Linked DNA regions of Mus musculus. The protein of the gene in region 1 interacts with the protein of each later gene in a pairwise test. Links are inferred from orthologs where the notes say so. Each region holds a gene or a part of one and is shown on either strand. Other genes may lie near its edges.

Region 1 (3,369 bases):
TCCCTTAAAACAAACAAACAAACAAGAAACCAAACCACCAAGTATGAGTGTTTGCCTGCATGTATGCCTGTGCACCATGCACGTGCCTAAGGCATGTGGAGGCCAGAAGAGGGGATTGCATCTCCTTGAACCAGTCACTGGTAGCTGTGGGCTGCCATGTAGGTGCTGAAAATTGAGCAAGTACTTTTAACCAGTGAGCTATTTCTCTAGCCTCACTATCTTAATGTCTTTTGAGGCATGGCTTCTCACTAAACTTGAAGCTCATGATGCCGTGAGGATCCCTGGCCAATGAACCTCACTGGGGTAACAGGTACACTTGGTTCTTCTATGGGTGCTAGAGCTACAAACTCAGAGCCTCATGCTATTGTGACAGGCACTTTAGCAATTGAGGCATCTCCCCAGTCCTACAGTATCTTTAACATGTTATTTATTTGTTGTTGCTTTGTAGGCAAGCAGATCAAACCTTGCCAGGTAGGTATTCTAATACTAAAATATAACCAAGCCTTACATAACTTTTGTTAGATATGATTTTGTTCCTGTTTTTTTAACCTCTCCTATTTAATAACCTCCTTAAAAATCATACATATATAAAAAGAATCTGCAATTAAGATTTTATTTCATTCATATCACATGTAACAAGTGCAAGTTAATGTACAAATACTGACCACAACAAAGAAGGGGGAGTAACAATAAAAAGCTTACTTAGCAGATTCATGCAGAGAAATGAAGAAAGAGGACATTGCAGATGTCACGGACCCTGTTTACCTTGAATCATGACAAATGCAAAGGACTCCAACTATGGCACATCAAAGGAAGTCCTACATCAGAAAAACATTAAAGAGTTCATGGAAAGAGGTGGGACTTTCCCCCAGAGTTCTGACAGCATGCTACTAAACTTTATATTTTTAAATCAGTCCTTGAGTAAATGTCTAATTGTGGAATTAGAAAGTACATCCAAAGACTGACAAAATATTTTACCTTCCCCTTAGGAGGACACGCTTACAAACAAAACACTGCCAGCTATGAGTTTATAAATAACCATGGGCTCTCATTTAAAGTGCATTCAGATGCTTAGAAATCAAGGCAAAATATTTCATAGGAAAAGGACTCTTTCATCATCGGAGGTTCCCGAGTAATGGCTTTGGGAACCACTTTCTCAATCTGTGAGCGTGGCAAATTCTGCGGCTGCTGGTTACGAGGGTCACAGCAGGCCTGTGCAGTCAGGTGCTCACTCTGCTTCTCAGCTCACTCTGAGGAAATCCTCTGGGCCTAGAGGACCTGTGGCACGGATGGGAGCTCTTGGAGGATTAGTGTTTCCAGCAACAAGTGAGTCCTCTTCGGTACAGCACCAGCAACTTCCACGTCATTTACAGAGATGCACACAAGAACTTCACAGATCAAATTCCTCGTCAACATCCCTTGGGATGTGTAACTGCACAATCCTCTAATGCCAACTGCTGGAAACACATGGGCACCACGATGTACAAAATTGATTCTGTCCCGATACGCTACTTCCTTCAAATCTAAGTAGGTTTATATAGTTTATTCTTCAACTCCACTCTTTTATATACATTTTTTTTTGGTAATAATAATAGTAAAGATGCTGGTGAAAAGTACTTTAACAATTCATGATGCGTGCAAAAGTAAAAATGTGGATTCAAAGAAAGGTCGTATTTACAATTCTTCAGTCCCAACAGAGGATGACACACAGTTAGGCAATATCGTGACTCACAACATTACACTTGGCTAATGCTGCAATTCCAAATATGGCACAGGGCGAACATGACTGACACCAGTCCGAGGCTTAACCCAGCCAGGTTCAAAGGATTTGGTTTAGGTTGATATTCAGTTATATAAAAAGGTTTCTGAAAGTATTGAAAAAAAGAAGGTGTACATGAAAGAGACTCCGACAATGTTTACAAAATGCCAAAAGTTCTGATTGTGCCCCATCCATAAATAAAGAAGCCTCCTTCCCCCACCCTCCTCCCACATCCAAAAAAGGTAAGTTTACAAAGGTAAGTTTAGCTCAGTGAGCGGAACCAAAAGGTGACTGTTGTTGGACAGTTGCTGGTAAGAAGCTCAGGCATTTCCTAAGAATGCATATGCAGCTGGACGGACAGATGGAGCCCTGGAGTGCTGCTCCGGTGAATTCTGAAGACTTCTCACTTGGGAGCTAGAGCTGTCCTTGTGCTTTGAAGGAACATAATGAGCTATAAAGCAGAAGCCAATGGTGCCAGAATTCACCGTCTTCACAGTTCATTGTGGGAATTCTTCTCCGCAGCTTTGAACATCAGAATAGAGTTGAAAATTTTGAGAGCTGGGCCCAGCTTAATGCTCATGATTTTAACAATGTCTGTTTGGGTCATGAGTAAAAATGCTTCTCCATCAATTTGCTGAAATAAAGGGGGGAAAAAACAGAGGAGTGTGGATTAACCAGAGGGAGTATTGTGAGACTATTCCAAGCTTTATGCTGTATTATCAGCTGAATTCTATACAGCAATACTAACACAGCATACACAGGAGCTCTTAAACACAACATCCCCGATCCATGGGTCTTTCTTACCTAAAACCACACATCCAGCATTGTAAAGCTCAGTTATCTGAAACTGCAGTCCACAGAAGAAGGGAAAGTGGTCACATTTTCTTATAACTTAAAATTGTGTGTGTGTGTGTGTGTGTGTGTGTGTGTGTGTGTGTGAGAGAGAGAGAGAGAGAGAGAGAGAGAGAGAGAGAGAGAGGCCAGAGTTCAGTTACACATGTCAACCTCTCTAGCTTTCCACCTTATTCTCTGAGACAGTGTATCTTACTGAACCTGGAGCTTGCCGTTCCAGCTCAACTCTCTAGCCAGAAAGTTACAGCGATCCCACACCTATTTCTCAGTGCTGGTTTTACAGTTATGCACTGCCACGCTTGAATTTCTATGGGAGTTGTGGGGACCCAAAGGTCATAATATTTACTCTGCAAACACTTCATGAACCAAACCACCTTCCTATCCCCAAACCTTCTTGTGTTCTCCTCAATTAGGTACTGAGTCATTCATATATATATATATATATATATATATATATATATATATATATATAGTTTGTTTTGTTTGTTTGATTTAAGTTACAGAAGATTACAATGTTTTTGGACACAAAATAATTTGGGCAAAGAACTAGTTACACATGAATACCTAACAAATTTAGCACTCCACCATGAAGGAAAGCAGTGAGAAAGAAAGGCATGACCATAATCAGCCTTCATAGACAGAAGAGAAACCAGGAGCATGACTGGAGGAACATGAGGCCAGTTTTAAATGACAGTGGTTATCATGCAAATGCTTTTCTTTCCGGTCCCCTCCTTAGATGAAAAGTTTCATTACAGACT
Region 2 (4,319 bases), on another chromosome or scaffold:
TTACATAGGGCAATTTATAGAGTATGTGCAAGGCTCCCTGGAAGCAACCTGGCCTTGTTATTATATTGTAATTTAGCATTACAATATAAGCAAACGACCAGACCTCTGCATAAATAAACCAATATTGCCAAATCCTTGATTGACTGACTGAGACAAGGTCTCATTATGTAGCTCAGGCTGCCCTCAAACTCCATCCTCCTGCCTCAGCCTCCTGCGTGCTGAGATCACAGGCATATGACACCCAGATCCCTAAATCTTATGATTAAAGATGAGCTAAAGTCAGGGCTGGAGATATAATATCTCACTGGTGGAGTACTTCTCTAGAACTTGAGATTGTGAGTTTACTGGAGGGGGGGCTAAAAGTCTCTATTTTTATGTGTCTTCTCCCCATCTGAAATATTCACAGCAGTGCATTTTGTAAATGATTAAACAAACTTCAAACCTAAAAGAAATATCAATAAGCGCTGGTGGGGTAAGGATGTGGGGGATGGTAGGGATTAAGGGACAGTTTAGGGAAGGGTCTGCCCCTAACACCATCACCAGAGGGCCACACCATCCCCTTCCAAACCCAGTTTGGTCTTGGCCCAGCGGGTACCAGGCTAACCAGAGCTAGTCCCTCTTCAATGTAACCAGTTTAGCAACACAAACTGACACTATAGACTAATATTAGCCCAGCAGTCTAGAGACAGAGGCAAGGCTTCTATGAGTTCAGGGATAGCCTAGTCTACATATAGAATTTCTGGTCAGCCAGGGGTAACAAGACAATAAAAAATGGATGGAGTTGAGAACTGCTGCTTTGTGGCCAAGGAGACCTCTCTGAGGAGGTGACACTGAAATGACAAAGGAGGGAGAGGGCGAAGGGTGGGAGTGGTTTTTAAGGAACCAGAAGACAGTGGATGAGAATTGCGTGGGGGCAGGTGAGATGGGAAAGCAGCCTTGGAATTGAGTTCTAAGTGACACCAGTAGCCAGGGCGGGGTACCTGTTCGTCTTGGATCTACACGATGAATGCCTGGGGTCCACTAAACTAATTTCCTCCCGTGTACTTTTGACATTTTCCTCTAGGAAAAAAATTATAAAGTTCTGTTGATCGTTAAGAAAACGTGTGTCTCTGTGGCTGAAAAGAGTAACATCATAGTAACAGGGGCACCTGAGGGCCCACCACTCCGTCATGCCTGCTTCCCTCACAGGCTGTTCCTCTGACCAGCGCCGACTCAGTCTTGAGTGTGGCGACCAGCAAAGCTGGGAACCGGACTCCAACCAGGAATCAGCCCATCGTCCCCACGCACAACCGCTGCTGACCCGTTTACGGTCCAGCGGTTTAATTACGCCCGCGCACATTTCTGGAGAACTCGGGCCGGCTCCGCCCCCGCCTGCGTGCCAGGGCTTCGATTGGTCCAGAGTCCCTCGAAGGGGCGTGACCAGAGAATTGGAACCCGGAGGCGTGGGCGGCGCAGGGATTGGCGGGCGCCAGTTCGGGACTGGCTGTGCGGACGCGGAGGTTCCTACGGGAGGTAAGCAGGCTACGGAGGGGGAGAGCGCTCCCCTTCCGCCCTCCACCCTGCCAGGTCTGCAGCTGTGGGTAGAGGTGGCCTCAGGAACCCGCATCTGGGGCTCCACTGGAGCAGAGGCTGCTCGCTGTTTTCTGACTTGGGAAGGGGTTGACAGCTGGGACTCTAGGGCCACTGAGTCCCAGGACTGTGCGCGAGTTGGAGAAGGGTTCTCCGCAGAGTCTCTACCCTCTCCTTATCCCGTGATGTTCCGGGAACCTCGTCTTGGCCAGAGACGTCTTGGGTTGGGAGGGACGGTTCTCAATAGCCTCGGATTTGGGACCCTGAAGAGTTTGAGTTCGCGACTCTTCATATAGGAAGTTATTGGTGTGGGACCGGGCCTGGATTCTCCTAGGGAGTAACTGAAGTACAATAAAGAGGTGTCCCCAGGCCTTAGCAGGAGGGAAACCGGCAGTTCCAAGTCTCAGTGGAATGTGTGCACTCCCCGGAGAGGGCGCAGTCCTTAGAATGTGAACAAAACCGGTATCAGATTCTACCCGGTCAGAGGCTGCAGAGGAGGGGCGATCAGTGCTAGAGTCAAGACCCCTGCGGTTTTTGTAAGCTGAAGTGCTTCATTTGCTGTGCGTCCTGCCCACGTCAGCCCTCAGAGCTGCTCAGAGTGGCTAGGCCAGTTAGTTGTCTGAGCACTGGGACCTGGCCAACCCTGTCCCGCCAAGGAAGGAGGGGTTTGGCATTGTGGCCTGCGGGATGGGACTGACTACCCTGTGTGTTATGCGGTGAAAGACACCAAAGTCAGGCAGTAGGAAAGACTACACACTCTGGATTTTAAGAACTTCTGACCCAGGGCATGTTTTTTTTGTTGTTGTTGTTTGTTTGTTTGTTTGTTTGTTTGTTTTTTGGGGGGGTGGGGGCGTGTTGTTTTGTTTACTAGGGCCAAAAGTTTCAGAAGTTATTGTCTCCTTTTCATCATGTGAATTCCCGGGATAGGACATGGCCACAAACACCAGGTTACCCAAAAGATTTTGCTTTTTTTGAGATAAGGTCTCCTTGTATAGTCCAGATTGACCTACAACTCTCTACCTTCCTATCTAATCTTACCAGATGCTAGATTATAGGAATGCCCTCTGGGCCAAAGTTTTTCTACCTTGGCTCAGAGTTTATCTGGAAGCTGGGCCCACTCCTGAGGTTCTTGGGTGGTGACTGTGAAGTGGCTCATGGGCACGGAGTTACAGCCATGCTTTGTGCTTAATTAACATTGTGTCTAGCAAACAGTGGGTGCTAAGAAAGTAGCACCTAAGGGTTTATTTTCCTTAATCTGTTCTCCTGGAGGAAGATTCTAGAAGGTCTCAGTGACTCTGTTGGGTGGTGCCACTCCCTTAGTACCCTTGTAATAACTCTGGAATGCTCACACTGGCCTGTGGACCTGCAAGACAGGCCCTGCCTGCCCCTTGTAACCTTACCTCTTACTCCCGTACCTCACTCCTTCCTGAGTTCAGGGCCCCAGACCTCTCTTAAGGGCTGTACTGCAGTGAGCAAGAGGGCTTGAGGACTTGCATCAGGACAGAACCCATATTGTTGTGAGCCACATCCACACGCAAGGTGTCTTGTGCATTTTACCAGTAAGGGGCCAGAGAGTAAATACATGTTAGATTGTGTTAGTCTGAGTGTGGTTGTATTTCACTAAGGTTGCATTTAGGAAGCCTGGCAGTGGCTCATAATGGGTCTGGATTTTTAGTTTCTGGTTGTAGATCACCAGTCCTTCTCGTTGACTATGTGTTCCTCGGTGCTGGGCATTTGGTTTGCTTCTGCCTCTTGGCTCTAGTAAACACACACAAGAGTATAGCTATCCCTTCCAATCCCTTTGGAGATAGATGCACAGTGGGAAAGGTAGGTATATGGTAAATGTATTTTTAATGTTTTGCGGAGTCTTCAGGTTGTTTCCCATCGTATCTATGTCGTTTTTTTTTTTTCCCTCAAGATGTATTTGTTAATTTTATGAGTGTTTCTATGTCTGTGCACTACACGTATGCAGATACCCTTGGAACTGGAGTTACTGGGGGCTGTGAGTTACTGGTGGCTGGGTCTGTGCAAGCGTATGGAGAGCCACTGAGCCGTCCCCCAAGCCTGTGGCTGTGACAGTTTACATCCCCAGCAGCAGTACACACTCTTCCCACTTTTCCACTCTGGCACCAACTGGAATTTCTTTGCTAGGAACTTTCCAATGGGTATGAGATCTCCTCCAGTTTAGATGGGCTTCTTTAACGGTTTGAAACCTTGTGTGGTTTCTGCTTGAGTGACATTCAGTTGTATGTGCCAACCTAGAGATGCTCACTTCGGCCGGACCTGGGCTTTTGGGGGTTTGTTGTTGGTTTTTTTGTTTTGTTTTGTTTTAATTCATTTTTATTTTTATTTTTATTCATGGGTCTGTATGACTGAAGGCCACATGTATGTGAATGTCTCGGAGGCCAGATGAATGTGTTAGTCCCCTGGAGCTGGAGTTAACAGGCAGTTGTGGCCACCCGATGCGGGTACTGGGATCCAGATGCTGGCCTCAGGAAGAACAGCAAGTGAGCTGAGACATTGCTCCTCGTCCTTTCCCTCCGCTCCTAAGAGTTTCAGTTGACCCTGCTATCCTTACGCCACTGCGCCTTTGGGCTTCCTGCCCCTGGGCCTCTCTGGCCTCCTCACAGTGAGATGTTATCCACATTGGCCTCCAGCACAGTGCCTGGTGGCCTTGGAGGTAGCATGCTGGCACATTTGGGTTTGTTGTATTGTCCCTCAGCCAAGAACTGATGATCAGGTGGCAGAAC

What was found.
Region 2: the proteins of L3mbtl3 (region 1) and Plekhf1 interact in binary tests that used the Homo sapiens proteins (3 or more experiments, as listed by UniProt). The two-hybrid records come from large-scale screens. The link is inferred for Mus musculus from reciprocal best matches to the Homo sapiens genes L3MBTL3 and PLEKHF1.

What each region holds. Positions count from the first base shown.
Region 1 is NC_000076.6:26,273,871-26,277,239, forward strand, and holds the end of L3mbtl3 (lethal(3)malignant brain tumor-like protein 3), read right to left. Parts: intron 2,394-3,369; coding exon 2,250-2,393; 3' UTR 598-2,249; downstream 1-597. UniProt on the Homo sapiens protein: Is a negative regulator of Notch target genes expression, required for RBPJ-mediated transcriptional repression. It recruits KDM1A to Notch-responsive elements and promotes KDM1A-mediated H3K4me demethylation.
Region 2 is NC_000073.6:38,225,134-38,229,452, reverse strand, and holds the start of Plekhf1 (pleckstrin homology domain-containing family F member 1), read left to right. Parts: upstream 1-1,458; 5' UTR 1,459-1,512; intron 1,513-4,319. UniProt on the Homo sapiens protein: May induce apoptosis through the lysosomal-mitochondrial pathway. Translocates to the lysosome initiating the permeabilization of lysosomal membrane (LMP) and resulting in the release of CTSD and CTSL to the cytoplasm.